Rhinolophus ferrumequinum: one gene and its partner. The protein of the gene in region 2 purifies or fractionates together with the protein of the main gene of each other region. This does not show direct contact. Links are inferred from orthologs where the notes say so. Each region holds a gene or a part of one and is shown on either strand. Other genes may lie near its edges.

What was found.
Region 1: the proteins of DBN1 (region 2) and HOMER3 purify together in Homo sapiens (co-immunoprecipitation; 3 studies listed by BioGRID and IntAct, counting the BioPlex papers as one, with this or other methods). This does not show direct contact. The link is inferred for Rhinolophus ferrumequinum from reciprocal best matches to the Homo sapiens genes DBN1 and HOMER3.

Annotation. Positions count from the first base shown.
Region 1 is NC_046301.1:51,532,566-51,543,347, reverse strand, and holds the start of HOMER3 (homer protein homolog 3), read left to right. Parts: upstream 1-6,672; 5' UTR 6,673-6,873; intron 6,874-6,955; exon of another isoform or gene 6,956-7,380; intron 7,381-7,799; exon of another isoform or gene 7,800-7,988; intron 7,989-9,639; 5' UTR 9,640-9,707; coding exon 9,708-9,721; intron 9,722-9,800; coding exon 9,801-9,957; intron 9,958-10,201; coding exon 10,202-10,333; intron 10,334-10,782. UniProt on the Homo sapiens protein: Postsynaptic density scaffolding protein. Binds and cross-links cytoplasmic regions of GRM1, GRM5, ITPR1, DNM3, RYR1, RYR2, SHANK1 and SHANK3.
Region 2 is NC_046307.1:5,149,176-5,159,776, reverse strand, and holds the start of DBN1 (drebrin), read right to left. Parts: upstream 4,287-10,601; 5' UTR 4,123-4,286; coding exon 4,037-4,122; intron 3,457-4,036; exon of another isoform or gene 3,400-3,456; coding exon of another isoform or gene 3,392-3,399; intron 1-3,391. UniProt on the Homo sapiens protein: Actin cytoskeleton-organizing protein that plays a role in the formation of cell projections. Required for actin polymerization at immunological synapses (IS) and for the recruitment of the chemokine receptor CXCR4 to IS.

The DNA.
Region 1 (10,782 bases), on a different chromosome or scaffold from region 2:
TGAAACTATTCCAGGGAGGGAGAGGGCTCTGAAGACTAACAAGAGGATAAATGGAAAGTGCTGGAAGAGACATGGTTTGTTGAGTGTGATAATGAGGGGAGGCTTCCTGGAGGAGGTGACACTAGAGCAGAGTTTGGGGACTTTCTAGAAGCCAGAGACCCCCCCCCCCACAGGTTGGGGCCTCTGATTTTTTGTAATTGACCTAAAATTCAAATAACACAAATTAGTGATTGTAACACGTGTAATTCAGTGGCACTTAGCACATTTACAGTGTTGTGCAACCACTACCTCTATCTAGTTCCAGAACATTTCATCCCCTCAAAGGAAACTCCATGTCTATAAAAAGTCACTCCTCACTCCCCCTTTGGGGACCTCTGGTTTTAATCCACATCTTGCAAAGTAAATGTCTCTAATATTTATTTGCAAATGTCAAATATTCAGAGAAATGGGCACACTCACCCACCATTGCTGGGAGCAGAGTAAGATTTGGCACACGTGGTATGGAAAGCGGTATGGCCCTAAGTGTCCATCAAAAGCCTTGAACATGTGTGATTCCACTTTTAAAGGCGTCCCCAAAATGTGACCCTCCAGGAAGCAAACTAGATGCCCTACCCTAGGGGATCAATTTAATAAATCATGGAGTAGCCCCTGATGATGAAATCTTTCAACACAAGAGGGCAGACTGGTATTGATCAGTGTGGAAAGTGGGCCTCCACTGAGAAGTCGTGGGTATTGTATGATTGCATTGTGGCTGAGAAGAGAAAAAAGAAAAAAAATCTAATGAAATAGACCATCATGTTAGTAACAGTGATTTCTGGGCATTTGTTTTATTTTTAAAATTTCATTCACTTGGCAGATATTTATGGAGCACCTGGTGTGTGTCAGCCCACGCCCACCAAAGGCAGGGATGGCGTCTGAATTTTGTTTGTATCCTGCTCCAGTGTGTTTTTTTTTTTTAATTTTTTAAATTGGGGAATATTGGGAAACAGTGTGTTTTTCTGGGACCCATCAGCTCCAAGTCAAGTCGTTGTTTTCAGTCTTGTGGAGGGTGCACTCACTGGCCCATCGTGGGTCATCTTGGGAATCGAACTGGCAACCTTGGTGTTATGAGCGCTGTGCTGTAACCAACTGAGTCAACCGGCCACCCCTCCAGTGTGTTTTAAATTACCAGTGAACACCAAGCACATTTTAAGTTCATAATTAAAATGCACTCAGGAAATTAAATGCTATTTACATTATGCTTGTCTGTGTTTCTTAAAACGTTTTACACTGAGCACGTGTTACTTTGGCAGTCAGAAGAGAAAACACATAAAGCTGATCCTGTTAGAAAATGTATGCCACGGCTCCTTCTGGCCTCTCACCAAGAATGAGGTTGATATGGCCCAGCTCCTGGGATCTACTCACCAGCCCATCAGCCACTCAACACACTTGCCACTGTTTCAGGAGGTGGGAGGGTCCCCGCAGGTCCCTCTCCTCTTGGCACGCCCCCCTCTCAGATTCAGTTTCCCCAGTTGTAGAAGGTGACCGGCAAAGCTCCCAGCAGGGCCAGCTTCTGAGTTTAACGCTCTGATGTCACTGTCTTAAAGTTCTGAATAATTTTCTGAATTTGCTGTTTGCGCAGGGTCCTGCTAATCAGGCAGGTGATGCTGCCCTGTTGGATCCATCGACAAGCACTCATCCTGTGCCTGGCTGTGATTCCCCACCCGGAAATCATGTGGCCACCGCTCTCAGGCCTCCCAGACAGAATAGGACAGGACAGGACTCGAATGCAGACCCCTGAATGCAGCCTGTATATAGTGTCTCCCCTGTGTATGCAGCCAGTGCATAATGTGTGACCCTTTCTCTTTCCCTCAGTGGTCCTCCTCCCCCAGCCTGGGGGACAGGAGGCTCTTCTGTGACCTCCCTTGGGGCTGCAGGATCCATACTCAGGGAAGCAGATGTTTCCGTCCTGTTGGAGGCCTGGAATTTCAGAGATAAGAGGGCTTCAGAGGGGGGAGAGAGAGGGAAAGAGAGAGAGAAAGAGAGAGAGAGGGAGAGAGAGAGAGAGAGAGAGAGAGGAGAAAGAAGGGCCAGATAGAACAGAAAGGGGGTTATTGAGACAGACTCCCTCCCCAAGGCCCTGGGAGTGATATGAACTCAGAGCCTGTGGCCAACCCCAAAGATACAATAATAGGGCTGATAACCGTCATTTGTTATCAAGCACAACCCAGGATACCCTCTGCCTCCAGATAACAGAGGAAGAAAGTCTTAGGATCACCCTTCTCAGTCCATCTACCATGTGGCACTCTGGTGAAACTTATCCAGCACATGTAAAAACAGATCCTGACCTTCTCCTGCTCAAAAGCCTTTCATGGCTCCCCAGGGCTCTGAGTATAAAGTCCACACTCTGCTGGGGCCCAAAAGGCTCCTTGCCCACCAGGCTCCTCACTATCCCCCCAAGTCAACCTGTTCCGGCCACACCTGCGTCCTCAATGCTTCTCCAAGGGGCAGAGCACATTCCCACGTCAGGGCCTTTGCACATGCTGTTCCCCTTCTCTGAGCAGCCTTCACCAACTACGGGTCTTTGCTTGTTGCTTTGTCTGTTTTTCTCTACTTTGCATAAACTGTCGGAAGTCAACCTACTTGTTCCTCTGTTAATCATCTGTCTATGCACCAGATAGCTGTGCACTCCCTCAGGGCAGGGCCTCCCAGAGTGTTGGGACACAGGAGGTGCTCAATAAACATGAGTTAACAGATAAGGAACCACCATCTTACAGAGAAGGAAATAGAGGCCCAGGGAGGCCCCCAATGTGTCCATGGAGACAGGCTCTCCCACCCTGGGTGTCTAAGCCCAGACTGTATCAAGTCCACCTGCAGGCAGGTGATGCCTCCTCCCCTACCAGTGTGTAAATAAGGCTCCAAAGGCTGCAGGGAGCAGGGCTTGGCTCTCAGACCCAGTTTAAAGCCAAGCTTTCCACTTGGCCAGTTTTGATTTGGAGAATTGGTTTAAGGCCCCTGAGCCTCAGTTTTCTCTTCTATAAAAATGAAGTTAGAGGTCGGGCCCATGGGGTCCTGTGTTAGGCGAGCACAGCAGGGGTCCTCCCCAGTGTCCCCTTTGTGGCCTCCCACACTGGGCGATGATGGGGCCCTGAGAGGCCTTGGCCTGAGCCTGGATTCTGAGAAGCCCTGATCTGAGGTGGGGGCAGAGATAGCCCCCTCCTATGAGGTCAGGGTTGGAGGAGTAGAGGGAGTCTGGGAAGGCTTCCTGGAGGAGGGAGTGTTGGAGATGAATGCAGAGGTTCAGATGTGGGGTCCAGCAGTGTAGCCAATGGTGATAGGGAGCTGGATTCTCCCTTTGAAGCCTCCAGGAGAGCCATGAAAGGTGCAGGAGCAGGAAAGTGAGCAGTGCAGCCAGTTAAAGGGATCCTGGGAGGCAGAGGGAGGGCTCGTTTGGGGGCGTCCCAGAGAGGTGAATCCTGACTTCAGTCTGTGCCTGGAGACCAGGAATGGCCTCCCCTAGCAGATCAAGGGAAGAGGCTGCCACATGTGAGTCACCCAGTTCCTGCAAGAACATTCAGCACCCGTCGGCCCCGCGTAGGCTGTCACCAAGCAGGAACACAGCCCCCGGAGCCCCTCCTCTCCGCCTTCCCTGAGGCCTCCCGCTCTCTGTTCCCACAGCTGTTCCTTCAAGGCCGCAGAAGGAGAGTAGGAGGACAGGGCAAGCAAAGGAGAGCCCATGTAGACTGCTTGGCCAGAATTTGGGAGTTTGGGGGGAGGAGAGCTTCCCTGGCTGAGGGTCCAGTGTGCGCGCTGGGGCTGTCTAAGCCTCAGGACTCTACCCAAGATGGGGAAACTGAGGCTCAGGGAGGTTCTGCGCCCATTTTCCACATATATAGACACCTGGTTCTCTCCTAAAAGCTAAAAACCAGCTTGGAGCCTGCATTGTAAATCTGATCACGTCTCTCCCTCTCTGGCTCCCAACTCTCCCATGGCTCCCAAGTACCCTTGGAATAAATCCAACACACTTTATCATAGCCCATGAGGCCCCACCTGGCCTGTGACCCCCTCAACCCTCAGAATCCCCTACTCTCCTCTCACTCTGGCCACCTGGCTTCCCCACTGTTCCTCCAATGCACCCAGCCCATCTCCACCCCAGGGCCTTGGTACATGCTGTGCCCTCTGCCCAGAGCACACTGTGTGAGTTATTATCCCCATTTGATCCCTCAGGAAAGATGCAAAGAGAGGACGTCATGTGCTCAGAAACACACAGCAAGTCAGTGGTGCTTGGTGTTCCCAGCCAGGCCCATCTGACCAGCCCTCCACAGCAAGCCCTCTCCCCCCGATGGTGCCACGATTAAAACAGGCCTCCAGACCAGTCCACCTCAGAGCTGATTCTCAGCCCCTCCAGGTCTTGCCACCTCCAGCTATGTGCCAAAGACCCTCAGGCCTCAGGCCAAAACCCCTGCTCAGGGAGCTCCTGGGCCAACCCGACCCACACATCTCCCAGTGTCCCTCCTGTCGTGGCCGCAATTTCTTCGCCCCACTTTCTGCCCTTCACGCTGGTGGATGGCAGAGCCTTCAAGGACGGCATAGCCAAAAATAATCGGTCCCGACCTACCTCCCAAAAGTGGAGCAGCCCCCGCCCAGCCACCTGGCACCACAGAGGTAATTAGTGCACGTGGCAATGAGGGTAATTAGGTCTGTGGGATCCAGGTTTGGAGTTGGGAGGGGGCACAAGTGCTGCCACTTCCCACCCCTGACCTGCCCAGGTCCTGGGAGCTCAAGTTCATAACCCAGGGCTGGACCCCTTCCCTCCTCAAGCACCTGTGTGCCTGGGCCTGAGCCAGCGGGCTCCATTATTTCCTGGGGGCTGTTTAATGAATTAACCTTAGCTTTGGGCAGAAGTTGAGTTAGATATAAAATAAGGCAGAGTTACTATCACCAATATCGAGTCATCAAACTCTCCTCTGCCATAACCCCCATGCATCCACCCAATGCCAGGAGACGCCAAGCTAAAGGGAAGCCTCAGCCCAGCTCTTGAGGTGCCTCAGGGTAGCGGAGTCAGAGTTAGACACAGACACCGGCAGCCCCTTGGGGTCAGAGTTGGGCCAGAAGGAGGGAAAGTGTTGGGGAAAATCTAGGGGAAGAGGAGGGAGGGCTTCTCACAGAAAAGAACACTGGAGGTGGGGTGTTGAGGGACGATTAGGAGTTTTCCCAGAGGATTAGTTCTGGTAGCTGGCTCAACTGGACATGGCTGGGGGAATGGGGAGAAGGAAGAGGAGGATGGCTGGAGGGGCACATAAGGGACCCAGAGCTAAATATTTAGAGGATATCACACCAGGTTGGACCAATTTTGTCCCCAAGAGCTTACACCTGGTTGGAATCCTTCACCCTCTAACAGAGAAAATCTTAAGAACTTTGCTCAGGATCAAAACCACATGCCCAGACAGCCAAGAATAAATATAATGTTTATAACAGTGAGCATTAATTAAGCTCCTAGGATCATGCCCTCTTCATACAAGGACTTGGGTCCTTACAGGAAACCTCAGAAGTGGGCACCATTCTTATGCACATTTATAGGTGGGGAAACTAGGACACAGAGAGGGAAAGTGGCTTCTTTAAAGTCACACTTCTGGTAAGAGGCAGGGCTGGGAGTCACTTTCTGGCTCCTGTGACTCTGGAGACCACCAAAGACCAATGTTGGGATCTAGCGATCCCTTCCTTCTGGAAGCATTTACAGAGGATCTCCTGCAGGTCAGGCTTGCTCTAGGTGCTGGGCAGAGCTGTGAAAGAGGTGGATGGTAACCAAATCATGCCACAACAGATATAGGTAGCCACTGTGACTCATGTCCTGTAGCTGGGCATGTCCCTTTGGAGAAGAGTGACAGACTTCCCCTCTTCTGGTGGGACAGGAACCCTCCAGAGAGGACAGAAGATTTAGCTTTAGTACAAAGGTTGGGTCACAATAAATAGAGGCCATAAGCGCCACTCTGCAAACTGCTTCCCTAGAGCCCAACAAGCCATTCTAGTCCTCGCTTGGTGCCTCCTATGACAGGTTGTTCATTCTCTCATGTCCTTCCTTAGTCCCAAGGGAAAGCTGTTACTTCTAGTCAGCCACTCTGGGGTGGTGCTTCTGCCCACCCTGCAAGGATAGACCCAAGGAGAAGTGGGCTCAGGCTGGGGTAAGGGTGGCAGCTCAGGGAAGCCCCCTACCCATCTATACCCAAGAGAGAGTGAGGAGCTGCTGGTGTCACCTGGATCCTCACTGCTTCCTCCCCAACCCCAGGCCAATGCTCATCAGCCCATTCTCCAGGTGAGAAAACAGGTCTGTACTGACAAAGCCATTCCCTCAGTTTGGACTTGACTAAGACAACTTCAGGTCAGGGTTGCTCAAGGCCAGCAGCATCCCAGCCCCTCCTGGAGCCTGAGAGGGGTGTCCAGGAAAGGATTCAACTCCCCACTCTCTCTCATGCTGTTGCCTTCTGCCCACACAAGGAGGAAAGCTGGCCTGGGCCCTTCGCCTGCCTCCCCCTTGAATGGCCACGTGGCCCCAGTTCTGTAGCCGGCTGGCACTCAGCACACCCTAAGCAGCTTCCAGAAGACTCGGCCCTGCAGGCACCTTTCCAGTTACTTTATTATTATTTCTTTGGTAATAAGGAAAAGTCACTTTTGCACAGAACAGACGGTATTCTCTTTGTTCCCCACAGTGTTCAAGCATTTTGTGGCTTCAGGCCTGAGAGCGAAGCCAAATCTTTTGCTCGTACAGATGCCTTGTGAAGTTAGAAGCAGCCTGGGAAACTGAGTCTGTGCCTCTTTCCCCAGTAAGGCTGGGGGTCCAAGATGGGCTGGCCCTCCAGGAGCTCCCAGACCTGGCCGCACTGAACTAATAAACAGGTAACACACATCAGTTATCCGACAGAAAGGGAAAGGAGAGTGGGGCAGGGCAGAGCAAGATCGCTTCCAAGCCCAGGATGGTCAGAGAAGCTTCCAGGAGGAGAGGGGCGGGGAGCTGAGCCTCGAAGGACCAGGCAGAATATATGCCTGTCAGAAGGGCATTCCAGGTAGAGGAAACAGCTTGGGCAAAGGCCTGGAGGGAGGAAACTCAGGTTTTGGCCTGGGACTAAGTCTCTAGAATTCATCTAAAGGTAATTTGAAAGTAGCTACCAGTTTAGATGTGTGATTCTTGTCAGGCAAACAGAAATAAAAGAAGAGGGAAAGGAGATGTGACAGACCAAAAGCAAAACTTCTCAGGTTGTCAGAAAGCTCAGAGCGTCAGGGAACTGTGAGCCTCGGGCAAGGCCTCCTTGCCTCTGCCCACCGCCAAACGGCACTGTGCAACTTGGAGGCAAGCTCAGGCCTGGGGAGGTGATCGCAGCTCAGCCCCCTGAGGACCTGCTTCTGGTAAGTGTATGAAGGGCGGGCTCCCTCTGACCAGAAGCGGCAATCCAGGCCTGCGGAACTCCACCAGACTCACCATTCGGTGGGAACTGGACCCCGACCATCCCTAAGCCCTAGATTCAGGGATCCTATAACACACCAACGATCACCATCCCCTACGGTTGTTGGCATTGCCACAGTTGTCTTGTTACATTGTTGTAGTTCTCCGTCTGTCTATCTCCTGTGTCTCTACCTCCCCCCGCCCCGTCTCGGTCTCTGGGTCCCCCACCCCAGTCCCCTTCCCCGCCCTTACCCCCAATCCCACCCCTCTCCCCATTCCTATGGGCTCCCCCACCCCCAGCACCGTGGAGGGCCGGTAGAGGGCGCTGCGGGAGGCCTCGGGGCCCGGGGAGGCGGGGCGGGCGGCGGCCGCGTCGGGACCGACCGCGATGGGACCGGAGGCGGCGCGGGCGGCGGCGGCGGCGCAGACAAAGGCGCGGGCGGCACGGAGGGCGGCGCGGAGGGCGCGAGCCCCGGAGCCATCGAGAGAGCCGGGCGCCCGGTGCGGGGAGTTAGCACCGCTGGCCGCACCCGACTCCGCCCGGACGCTCACGGGGCGCCCAGCAGGCAGGGTGAGCCCGGCCGGCCGAGCTTGCGTCGGGGCGCGCGGGCCCCGAAATTCCAGGGCCGGGGAAGGGCGCCAGTGTCCCCGAAGTCCCGGACACGGAGGATGGGGGCAGCCGGAGGAATCCCGAAGTTCCAGGTCTTGCGGGGGCGCAGGGGCCCCTAAGTTCCGGAGCTCGGGTCGGGGAGGGGACAGTGCGAAGGATTCCCAAAGTTCCGCGCTCGGCGTCGCAGGAATGTGTCTCCCGAAGTTCCAGACCTGGGGCGGGGGTCGGCGCAAGGGTACCCCGAATTCTAGACCTGGAGATAGAAGTGTGGCAGGGGGTCCCCAAAGTTCAGGAATTGGGGGCGGTGCGGACGATCCCCGAAGTTCTGGACCTTGGGGTGGAGGAGGCAGATAATGGTCCCCGAAGTTCTGGTCCTGGAGTCGGGGGCGTCGCAGGGATCTCGGAAGTTCCAGGGTCGAAGGCCTCACTAACCGAAGTACTGGGCGCCCCGCTCCTGACGCGGGTGGGGACTCAATCCTGACTATCAGGCCCCCGACTGGGACGCGTGGGGTGGGGCTTCGCTCCCACAGGCAATTGGGGATTCCGGGCACCCGGCGGTTGGGCCCCCTCCCGGAGCCCCACCGCCGGCGGCGTCCGAGGCACATGACTAGTTGGTGAGTAACTTTCCCCAAATGCGCAAGTCTCTGCAGGAGAGTCCTGGCCTTAAGGGCGTGAGTTCTGGGACCCCTGCGCGCCGCGGAGCCCCTGCCAGACCCAGGACCCGCCCCCAACCCCGGCCAGAGTTGCCGCCCCTCCCCCACCAGGGGCTCCGGTTTCAGACCCTGTGACCAGGACAGCAGCTGCCCAGGAAGGGGGGGGACGTCCCCCTCTGACCACGGAGGCCACTTGGCCGTGCATCCCTTCCTCCAATGTGTCCCCCCTTCTCCTAGGTCCCTCCTGGATCCCCTGCAGATATCCTGGATGCAAGTTTGTGGGCGCGGGAGGGTCAGGAAGTCTCCCTGGGCAGCTGTTCCCGGCTTTGGTGGGAGTGGGGTGGCTAGAGGAACCAGCAGAGACTAGGCAGACCATCTCCCAATCCTGGGTCCCGCCCAACCCCCATGGTATTGGGAGTGAGTGCTGATGGTGGTCTGGCAGTGGGCACCTGTGATTGGTCCTGTTTGGCTACATCTTGTCTTTTTAACTAGGATGGGGTTCCCTGAAGATTTGGACTTTGACCCTAAGTCTGTGCCTGGGGCCTAGAGTGGAAGTGGAGGGGTCCCTCTGTGGGGCTTGTGGGAACTGGTTTCCCAGTAGGCACTTGGTGATGCCTCACTTTTTGCTGGAGGCCCTGGTTTGGGGAGTGATGGGTGAATGTGTGGGGAAATACTGAGCGGGAGCTGGCCTTGGCCTTCAGGACAATGAGAGATGGATGCTGAGATGTCAGGGGCCACCTGGCTCCTCTCAGAGAGCCATCTCCTGCCCAGAGTGTGGTAGGGGCTTCTCTGGGTGGAGAAAGTCAAGGTCTTCTTGCTCTGAGTGACCTACTGATTCCCTCACCTTTTTGATTGAAGTTCTGTGAACGGTGCACCTCGTGTTGGGTCCTGAGGTTGGACCTGCTTGGCCTCACTCAGCGTGTCCTGGTGGGACACTGACAAGCCCCTTCTCCCCCCAGAGGCCGAACCAGCAGCTCCTGCCACTCCTCTGGCTGCCCCTTGGAGCTCACCCAGCCCAGCTTGACCAATGTCCACAGCCAGGTGAGCCCCTGTCTCTACCGGCTTGGCCCTGAGCCCCTGGAGGTGCCCAGCCCCCACTGAGAGCCCTCTCCCCACGCAGGGAGCAGCCCATCTTCAGCACACGGGCACACGTGTTCCAGATTGACCCAGCCACCAAGCGGAACTGGATCCCCGCTGGCAAGCACGCACTCACTGTCTCCTACTTCTACGATGCCACCCGCAATGTCTACCGAATCATCAGCATCGGGGGTGCCAAGGTCCTGGCGGGGCCTGGGTGGGGCAGCAGGGGACAGGGGTCCCAGCAATAGGCCTGGGTCTGCTTGTTGCTGTGTGGCTACGGGCAGAGGGAGTAGGGAGCCCTGACCCTTTCTGAGCCTCAGTCTCCCTCCTGAAACGGCTCAGACCAGAGCCTCCGAGGCACTAATACAAAGTGGTCCTCCAAGGTCTGACGTTCATTATTAGCAGTCCCGTTAACCTTGAACTTTGCTCCCCTCTCCCCAGGCCATTATCAACAGCACTGTCACTCCCAACATGACCTTTACCAAAACCTCCCAGAAGTTCGGGCAGTGGGCAGACAGTCGCGCCAACACTGTCTATGGCCTTGGCTTTGCTTCTGAGCAGCACCTGACCCAGGTGGGTCTCGGGGGTGTGAGGTAGGAGGGAGAGGGCTGGGTGTGGGTCTTCTGGATGCACTGGGGCCCCTGGGCAGGTGCTGGGATTGCACCTTCCCAGCTGCAGAATTAGACAAGCCAGAAGCCCCGTCCTGGTTCCCTGGTTTACATCCCAGCTCTGCAGGCCACCTGCAACCGATTTCAGGCACACCCTGCCCCTCTCTGGGTCCCTGGGCTGGGTACTTCCCCACACACCCTGGCAGTACATCATCATTTCCTTCCACCCTCTGCTGTCTCTAAACTTCAGTATTGTTTTATCCATTGTTTTTCTGGATAGTTAGTGCCCTGAGTCCTGCCGAAGGCATGACAATTTTCTTCTAGAAGCTTTTGTTTTCCTTTCACATTTAGGTCGTGAATTTATTTCTGTGGGTGGTGTAAGGTAGGAGTATTTTTTGCAGTTGAATGAATATG
Region 2 (10,601 bases):
GGCTGTTGCCAGGAACCTACCTGGCGCTGCCTCAGTACCCACTGCCCCTCCCCACCACAGCAAGGGAGGGGGAGGAGAGAACCTGGTGCTCACTCTGCTCAGGGCATCCCCTGGTAACCATGGCAACTCAGCAACTGGCACATGACTGGCCCATCCCAACCTCAATCTCCTGAACACAAAGGACCCCAGGGATCCGCCCTGGGTCTCAATCTCCTCCTCTCTGAAATGGGGATGAGGTCACCCACTCACTCTTGCCCAGACTCTGGCCCCTGGGTGACCACACACTTCTGGCCTTCTAGCTCCTAAGCCACCTCTGTCCTAGCTGAGGCCCTGGCCTCCTGGGACTGCTGGCCTTTCCTTCTGCCTTAGCATCACCAGAAAACTGACCTAGGAGCCTTCCTCCTCCCTAGATTTTTTTCTCGCCAGGCAGCAGTGGCACAGCATCCATTTCACAGATGGGAAGGCAGAGATGTCTGCTCCCAAGGACCCCCTAGGAGGACAGACCTGGAGCAAGAAAGAAGGGCCCTGTTGAGGAGGCTCCAGAGGGCTCAGCCCCTTCCCCAAGCTTCCCTTTTCCTACTGCCAAGGCAGGAGGCTGGGGGCTTAGAGGAGGGCAGGTGGGAGCACAAAGGAGATGGAGAAGAGAAAGGGACGGAGGGAGTCAGAGAGAGGAGAAAGGAAGAGAAGAGAAAGGAGGAAAGTGAAGGTATGATGAGGAAATGAAGGAGGGAGGGAGAGAGGGAAGGAGGGAGGGAAGAGGGAGGACACACACACACACACTTTCCAGGACCCCTCCCTCCGGAAAGGGACACAGGTGGGCTGTGAGGCCCAGAGCTCCTGCTCCAACTGTCGCCTGGGCCCCAGTGCTGGCAGCTGCTTCCCAGCACAGCTGTCCCACCACCTGTCCGGCTGCCCTAACCCGTCACTGGGAACAAAGGGCCCTCAGAGAAGCAAAGTCTGCCCCTTCCCATTCCAAAAATGAGAAACTGAGGCAGAACTCTGAGACCCTGGTTCCCAGACACACACACCTCCCAGGGGTGACTATTAGCCTCCCAGAAGTTCTGAGTGCCCTTGCTACACATGTACTGCCCCTTCCATCCTCAACTCTTGCCTGCCCACTTCCAGCCACCTTTCAGCTCCAGCCACTGACCTGACAGAAACCATAGCTAAGTTCAAAGCCTTCAGCAGGCCTTCAACCCTGAGCCCCACCTGCCTGCCTTTCCAGCTAGACCTTCTGTGTCCACACCACACACTGGGGTCACACTAGACGGCTCGCGGATGCCAAACACAGTTCTGGGTATTTCCCACCCTCGAGCCTTTGCATATGTGATTCCTGTCACAAAAAGACCAGACCAGTTTCTCTACCACATGCCCACCCCTGGCAGAAATCCCTCGGGGCCCCAATGCCAGCTCCCTAGGAAGCTGTGCCCTGTCCTGAGGTGCACCTCCTCAGGCATTATCACACCCCAGCAGGGATGGAAAAAGGCATCTAAGCCTGCCGCAGATCTCACTGAACAAGTGCTTCTCAAATACCGCAGAGCCGGCTTTGGCCTGGGCCTGGACAGTGGGAGCTGGTGAAACCGCAGGAAGTCAGAGTGGGGGGAACCAGGAATCTACATGTCTCACCAGCTCTAAGCCCTGGAGACAGACACTGCCTCAGACCTAAGCTTCGCGGAGGCAGGATGTCTGACTCAGTCAATCAACATACTTCACTCTCTGGGTCCAGGGTCCAGCCCACAGTGGCACCAGTAGGTACCTGAGATACTGGCACTAACACTGAAAAACCATCTAGGCCAGAGAAACTGGACTGAGGTGAGTTGGGAGCTGGAGCTCCAAGGAGATGCTGGAGTCAGCTAACGTGGGAGGCTGAGGGCAGGTGGACCCCTCAGGACAATCACACTCTCAGGATGTCAGAGCCAGATGGGCCCTGGAGGTCCCGATATGGTTGAGTCTCCTTGTTTTCAAGAACACGAGAAGAGCAGGCACTTGTGTGTGGTCACATAGTGAGTCTGTCACATCCAGGGCAACACTGGCTCTTCCCACTACACAACCTAACTTCCTGGGGTCCCCTGCTCCCACCTGGACAGTGGTCCATTTCAGATGCCCTGCCACAGGAGTGACCACTCCCCTCCTGCTCCCCAGCCCCACTCAGAGGCAAGATAAGGGAGGGCAATGATAAGCCTCCTTTGCTCAGGCAGCAATTTTACCCAAGACATCCTCCTCTAGACTTAGTGTCGGGTCTGTGCCTGAGTCCTGAGACCCCACTGCACCCCTGGCTCGGAGCTGGCAGCAGGACATGATCCTCACACCCTTTTTACAAAATGCTACCTAGGCCACTGAGAGTGAATACGTGTGTGCATGTGCGAGGCTGTGTGAATCTGTGTGTGCCTCACACACACCCAGATGGGGTGACGCACGCCAGTGATGAATAACTCACTCTGGCCACATGGATGCTGCTGCGTGGTGGGAGCCCAGCCCTCTGCTGAGGAGGACGTGGGCCAGCAGTGGTTGTGTGGACCCGCACTGGGCCTCCAGAGCTCTGCTTTTGGGGGGTTAGGCCCGATGGGGTGGTGATAGACAGTATCCCCAGACTGAGGGTGAGGGGGGCATTCTATGATGGACCCTGCCCCTCTTCAGGCAGGGCCCATCGGGTCTCGAGGCCAGCTCCTCCACTAGGCCAAGGCAGCCACTTGCCCTGGACTTCTCCCATGATCTCAGCCCCCAGGGGCAGGGCTGGGACAATGGGTGGGCCGCCTGCCCACTTCGCCTGTGCTGGCCTCTCCTGTGACTGACCTGCAGGACATGAGCTTGTCTCCCGCGTCCATCCCTCCAGGACTGGCTGCCCGCCAGTGCTGCAGTACCGTGGCATGGACACCTCACCACTTGTCCCCTCCTCCAGCCCCCAGGTCAGTGTCCCTTCCCAAATGCCTTCCCAGGGTGAGGGTAAGGCCAGCTCAAGTGAGGTCCCTCAGGCCTGCCCTCACACTGTACCTCAGTTTCCTGCCTGCCAAGGGGAGAAGAGGCCTGGGAACAGAATGGGTACCTGCCCCAAGAGAAGAGTCTTTTGGGGGGATGATTCCTGAATGGGGCAGTGTGGAACCCCTTGGCTTTCCTACCACCCTGGGGACACCAGCCTCAGAGCAGGTGGTCCACCCCTCCCAGAGCTTGGGGAGACAACAGCTGGGGAGGGGGAAGAGGGCAGCCCAGCTCCTCCCCCACCAGGAAGCCGAGAGCCCCTTGCCACTGTGCGATGAGGCTGGGGGCTCAGTGGATCTACTCAGCCCTCATCCCTCTCTAGGGGCTCCCTCCACGCGTGTGCGCCTGAGGGCTTCCTCCCAGGGTCCCCAGCTGGCCCCCTTGGCATCTCCCAGCCCAGCTGCCCAGTACCTACAATCCCATTTATCTCCGTCTCCTCCACGACCACTGAGAGGAACAGGAGTCACTGCACGGTTGCCATGTGCAATGAACGTCTTTCCATCACACCCCAACTCCGAGAGGCCCCCCCGGTGGGCGGGGCGCCTCGGCCCCCAGCCCGCTCTGCTCCTCCCCCGCCCTAGCGTTCCTTTGTGCTGTGGCCGGCCGGCGGGGCTGGGCCAGGCAGGCTGAGCTGGCTCCGCTAGCTGGGTCCCCGCCCCGTCACCGCCCGGTCCGCGCCCGCTAGAAGGTAGCGAAGGTGCCCTTGGCCGCCCGGTGCACACCTGTCCCCTGAGCCCCGGCGGGGGAGAGGACGGGGGATGGGCTCCTGCAGGACCATGTGGCCCCGGGCCACACGTCCAGATCCTGCGTCTCTCCGACCCGCGTCTGGCCACCGCTCATACCGCGCGCCTGGGCCGGCCTCGGGGCGCAGCACCCCGCCCGGCCCCTCCCCGGCGCGCACAAAGGCAGCCCCTCCCGGCCCTCCCAGGCCGCTCCACCATTTCGGGGTCGCCCCCTCCCTTCCCTGCAGCCGTGCGGCGGGCCGGGTGGAAACAAAGGCGCGGCGGCGGCGGCGGCGGCGCGGGGACAAAGGGGCCGGGGGGCGGGGGCGGGGGCTCACCAGTCCGCCGCGCTCTCCTCCCGGATCACCTCCTCGTACGCCGCCAGCAGCTCCAGGCGGTGGCCGCTGAAGCTGACGCCGGCCATACTGCGGGCCGGACCCAGGCCGAACGGACAGACGCACGGACGGACGGACAGAAGAGGGAGGGAACGAGGGAGTCACCGCCGCCGCCGCCTCGGAGCCTCTGCAGCGTTGAGAGCCGAGCGAGCCAGCGGCCGGGGGAGGGGAGCCGGCCGGCGGGGGGCGGGGGGCGCTGGCTCCGCCCGGCTCGTCCCTCCGCGCTCGGTCCTAGCGCCGCCCGGGCCCAGCCCAGGGGGAGGCCAGCCCCCCCTTCCCGGCCTGCCCCAGGCGCCCCCCGCCCCTCACCCACCGCCTCTGCGTCCGCACCCGGGCCAACCTGCCCCTCCTCTCCCGAGGCCCATCGCACCCGCGTCCCAAACCCTCACCGTGTTCCCAGCCTAAGGTACTCACCCTCTTCCCCAGCTCCAACCATCCCCGTCCCCAGCTGATTCTTCTCCTAATCAGCTCCCAGTCCCAATCCCAAATCCACTTCATTCCAATCCGGCCCAGTCCCATTTGGTGCTTAATTATCTCCATCCTGGTCTCACCCCCATCCCTGATCCATCCAAACCCCCAGTCCCAACCCAATTCACAGATCAGCCACCCCTGGCCCATCTGCCGCCCAGCCTCACCTCGGAAAGGCCCATTCAGTCCATCCTACCACTGTCCACTGCCATCTCTTTCCCAGCCCCAGTTCCAGCCCCATTCCCAACTCTATGCTTAGCATGCACCCCCATTCCCCACACCCCATCCTTAGATGCACCCTCCTCAGTCCAGCCTATCCTGTCCTCATTCTGATCCGAGTAACCAACCGCACCTCTACATCCCTGCCTCCTTGACCATCCCCAGCCCCAACCAAGCTCATTACCACAGTATCGCCAGCCTCTTCCACCACCCCTAGGCTGAGCCCCCCTTCTTTACCAGCAGCCTCCTGGCCCCTCTCAGATGGGGTCAGCCCAGGAACTCCTTTGCCTTGACTGGCAAGCCTCAGGCATCGTAGAGGATCCCAAGTGGACTTCCTTCAAGTAGTAGCATCTAACTGTAGACTCAGGGAAGGGTTCCTCCAGGACCAGCCTCCTGGCACTTTTTTCCCCCAAAGCTCTGAGCACAGAAAGCACTAGGGCCTCAGAGGAGTCCCCTGCAGGAGAGTGGGCACCACTGCCAGCACCTCCAGAAACACGTCTGCTCCTTGCTGAGGTGGGACCCTGAAACTCTCCCCAGCTCTCAGAAGCCTTTCGCACCACCTACAAAGCCACCCCCATCTTCCCAGGGAGGTGATGGAACCTGAGCTAACTACCTAGTCTAATCTGGGAGACGGTTCAGCTGGGCCTCTGAGTTCTGAGTTGGCCACAGGAGGAGGAGAGTAGCGTGTGCGTTGATCTCCAGCAGTGGTTCCCAGCGCTTTGGAGTAAGAAAACCCTCTTAAAACTCAAAAGCGTTCACAGACCCCTGCCTGTGCCCACTATGCCCATGGACCCCTGGCCCTAGCAGTTTCTCCACAGCCCCCACTTGGAGCAAGGCCCAGGCAAGGTCACTAGGATTCTGGGGTGGGAGGAAATCCCATGACAGGGCTGAAGGGGAGATCTTGGGTCTCAGCCCCTTCCTGCTTCCTTTGACTTGTCCCAGCTCAGAATTCCTCCCACCTTCCCCTCCCTGGCCCCCTTCCCAGCCTCCTGCTTGCTCGATTTCACATCCACAACACAGAAGCCCACATGCATGCTCTCCCTCAAATTCCTGCCTCTTTCCAGCCACGCCCTCTTTACCATCTATATTTTTATATAAGCTCATTTTAGAATAGTTTTAGATTCATAGAAAAATTACAAAGATGGTACAGAGAGGCCTTGTAAGTGGAACCAAGAGGGTCGCCTGCTTGGCTGCCCTGGAGCCCAGCCCTTCTGGTCTTCTCACCCTTCTCCCTCCACATCTTCATCCTGTAATTTGTATATCTGTAATCTGTCTCCCCCTGTCTCCGTTGTTCTTGGAATTGCTCTGGCCAAGGTCACTAGTGACCCCTAAATTGCCAAATTCGATGGTCCTGTCTTAGTCCTGTTTCTTCGACCTGTGGGAGTGGGGTGACCATTGATCACTACCTCCTCTGTGACCCTGCCTCCTTTTAGCCCTGAAAGCCACACACCCCACTTTGGTGGGTGGGTGCTGGGTGCTTACTTGGCGGTCCTCCCACCAGGACTTGGTGTCTATTACTCTCAGCACTGAACACCTTTTAAGCCACTAACACAGTGGTCTCCCCACCCCCAGAGAGTGAGCCTCCACAACACCCTGGGAGGCTGGTCCAGTGGTTTCTGGGTCCCCAGAGTGCAAAAGTCAACAAAGAGGGAGAATTCAGTTCTGAAGCTGGTCACTTGCTGTGTGACCTGGGCTAAAATGCTTTCCTTCTCTGAGTTTCCTCTTTGATAACATGTTGTGAGTGACTGGATGGAAGCTTGGAAAATAAGAACCCCTCCCTTCCTTTTCACAGCCTGGCCCTCCTCCCCCCCACACCCACCTTCCTATTCTGTGCTCCCCACACATCTCAGGGAAGGCTTCGAGGATGACACATTGGCCTCAGGACTATTTTTTAGCACAGGCTGGTGGAGCCTTCTCTGCCCTCACCCTGACTCTGCAAGTTCATACCAAGCACACCTTCAAAAATGCCCCCTCATCCTTGCAGGTGTGGGCCCTGGCACTGGGCCGGCCACTTTCCCACAGAAGCTCTGCTCCTCACAAGCCAATTGCTGCCCAGATCTTGCTAATCCACGGACCTTGCTAACCGTGTGACCTTAGACTCACTCCTTGAACTTCTTTGTCTTACTCGTTTCCAGCTACAAAATGGGGATGATGATGATGGTACCTACCTCATAGGGTCTGTTTGAGGATGTTAAAACAGTATCTAGAAAGTGCTTAAAATGGCAACTGCACATAGCAGATGCCATTGAGATGTGGGCTGTTATCACTATTTTACAGATAGGAAAGCTGAGGCTCAGAGAGGAGCAGTGAGGCCCCGAGGCACACAGTTGGTGAGTAGCAAGTCTGGATGGGAACCCAGGACTGTCCCACATCACGTCAGTCTACCACCTATTCTCCCACTTCCCCTTCTAGCACCCCCATTTCCACATGTAGGGGCTAGCCTGGCCTGCAATTTAGTCAGAGGTAGTTCCTCAGGTTACAGCTGTAGGGTCTAAGGAAAAGTCCGGGTGCAGGAGTCCTGGGCATGGAGGAAAAGTGCCCAGTGCAGTGGCTGTCCATGGTCAGGCATCCCTGTTATGTAAAACTTCCCAGGCCTGAGAGACTGAAGAAAAAGGCTGACAACTCCAGCATTATATCAAGAGTTTATTAAGAGAGCTTACATAAGAGGCACATCTTGGGCGATGGCACTGAGGTGACAGGGATGTCCTCCAGGCCACGTGGCAGGCACAAAGGGTTATATAGGACAGGACTGGATGGATGGGGCACCGGGGTGTGACCTGCCCAGATAATGGGAAAATGCTTCCCATGCTTGGGGGGCGGGGTGTGCAGCGACCTGTTCCAGGAAGGAGCAGGAGGTGGGACACATGGGAGGGGACCATGGGACAGTCTCTGAGGGGATTTATGGGAAGCAGTCTGTTCTGGCCCGGATCTTGTTGGATCTAGCTCGAGGGTCTCTCCTCCATAAGCCCTACCCTTGTCTTCCGGCTGATTTTTCCACTACAGGCTCCAGAGGGGAGCCTGTGTTCCAGGCCCACCGGTCAGACCCAGTGACTGCTTCAGGGATGGACACATGACCCAAGTCAGCCCAATGGGCAGCAGCCCTGGGACTTTTGCTGGAATCATTGAGAAAGCCTCTACTGGGGCTGCTGAGCTGGCAGGATGTGGGTCTGGAGCTGGTTGAGGGGTGTCTCCCCAATAATGGGGAGAGCCGCCTGAGAATACAGCCAGCACTTAGGAAAGCAGTGCCCAGAGATGGAGACAGCAGACAGACTGCTGGTAACACCCAGAGTACCTGGTCCCACCAGATCTGAAGCCGTTAACCTCAGTTAAATGAGATAAATTCTCCCTGTTTCTGCTAAACTAGTTACACTTGCACTGAAAGAGTCCTTCTTCATCTACCTAGTAGCGGTCATTTTTATCAGTGGCAAGGGAAATGGGTGAAAGCTGAGCTGACCTAGTCCCCCAGGCTGAGCAGGAGACCCAGGCCCATCCCGGGGCGCTCCCTGACCACTCTGTAGCTACCCCACTGCATGATCTCCCCGGGGTGGCCTGACTTCCTGAGTCCTCCCCAGGCTCCCAGCGAGCTTCTTCTTGTCCTACCAGGGCCCCTGGAACCCTACCTCCCCGTTATGCCCCAGCTGGGGAGGAGCCCTACTTCCACTCTTGGTTGGCTTTGGACTCAGGCCCACTCAGTCCTCCCGGCTGCTCCCTGCTTGTATGGGGCTGGCCTCAGCTGCCTTCCCATAGCAGGGCTGCATGGAAGGGTCCACAGGGTGGTGTGTACCTTGTATGTGTTCCAAGGCCACGCAGGGCCTGGCACTGAGGAGGCAGCAACAGAATCATCAGTTCCTGCCTGTTCTCTGTACTCAGTTCCTCTCCCTCTACCGCCTCTCTCCCTGCTGACTTTGAATGAGCTCTAGCTGCTCTGAGCTGGAAAAAGCCCCTCTTACACACTGCCTCTCCAGTTCCCACTCAGCCCCCTGCCATGGGCTCTGCCCCTTTAGCTGGGGAGGCTGCACTCTCCAAGGGCGCTAATGGCTTCCCCTACCTGACACAAGGACATTTCCCAGTCGCCACGGCTTCCACCCACACAGCCTCGCACCCCAGCTTTGGAACACTGTGATCCCTGCAGCTCTGTGATGGGGGAGCAGCCAGGAGGCGCAGTGGGGAGCACTGCAGCCTTGAAGCAGCAGACCCAGGCCACTCTGGCTGGGTGGCTCTGGCCAGGTCACTTTCTCTTTGAGCCCCAGGTCCCTCATCTGAAATATGCACTTAATGACATCTCTGTTAAGTGTGTTTCCATGATTAAATGACATATACTCTTTAAGTGATTGCTCTGTGGGTCCCAGCAGAGGCAGCCGTTCGGAGCAGGTACCCCGTGCTTGTTTTTACTTCCATCCACGTGAGCACCTCTTTCCTGAGGTTTAGTCCCCAGCTCTCTGCTCTCCATCCTCCTTTCCCCTTACATCCACCCTTCTACTGTTTCCCTGAAAATAAGACCTAGCCGGACCATCAGCTCTAATGCGTCTTTTGGAGCAAATATTAATATAAGGCCCAGTCTTAATTTTAGGGTCTTATAGTAAAATTAAGACTGGGCCTTATATTAATATTTGCTCCAAAAGACGCATTAGAGCTGATGGTCTGGCTGTCCTATTTTTTGGGAAACACGGTATGAGCTTCCCCTTCTTCACCCACCTTCCCTTGGCAGACACCTCCCAGTTTCCTCCCGTCACCCTTCTGGGCGCACAGGTGTAGGGCTGCTAGTGGTCCTCCGGCCACCACAGCCCAGCCTCCTCCGAGCTGTCTGCACTCTCTTGTCTACACTCTCCTTCTACATCCTCACCACCTCCCCCTTGTTCCTCTAACTCTGGCAGCGGCCCCAACTCTCTGCTAAACTGATCTGGCAAATATCACCTTGTTGCGAAATGCCATGGGGACTCCTCGGCCTTATCTGCCTGGTTGACACTGTTGGCAGGTTCTGGAAACACTCTGGCTGAGCCGGCTGCCCCGCCCGACCACCTGGCCCCCAGTTCTCTGGCTGTCCTTGCCCTCTGGCAGCTCCTGCTTTCTCTGCCCAGTACTGAGATGTTGGTGCTTCCTGGACTACCTCTTCATCTTGGGGCCCCAGCTGTGCTCACACTGGATTTGACCTGTTTATTCTTTTTTAAATAGAATTTTAAAATCTGACTTAGTTGCCAACATTAAAAAACCAGACTTCACATGAAAGTCTGAATCTGCGGACAATGTCGATAAACTGGCAGATCTGGCCACAGCTCGGCATTCCCGTGTGGCAGCCCTTGGCTGAGGCTGAGGGCGGCTGCCCTGGGAAGGTGGGGGAAGCCTTCCCCACAACTCCCATCATCCGCCCTTGTGATCTTGTTCCCTTTTATCTATGGAAACCCAGCGTGGACCGAGGGCTTCACGGTTCAAGAGAAGTGGGAGAGAGTACATTTTTTGTGGAAGTGAAAGACACTGTTTAATATGCCAGGGATATCTAGGCTGAAAGAAAAACACACTCCACCTGCTTTCCTCCTGGGGTGACCTGCCTGGGCCAGCTCCCCAGCTTTCCCTGGGCATCAACTACAAGCAGCTGTGATGACTGCCCCCCACTTGTCCCACACTCTCCAGAACTGAATCCAAGGTGAACCCAGACTTCAATCTTCAGCTGCTCCCTGAATTTGGTTGAGAGACTGAACGAGGTGCCTGAGGGCCATTTGTTGGCCATCCACTATGCGTCAGGTAGTATTCCAGACTCTGGCAAGACACGATGAAAATAACACAGGAAGCCCTGCACCCATTTCCCAGAGTCCTCAAGAGAACA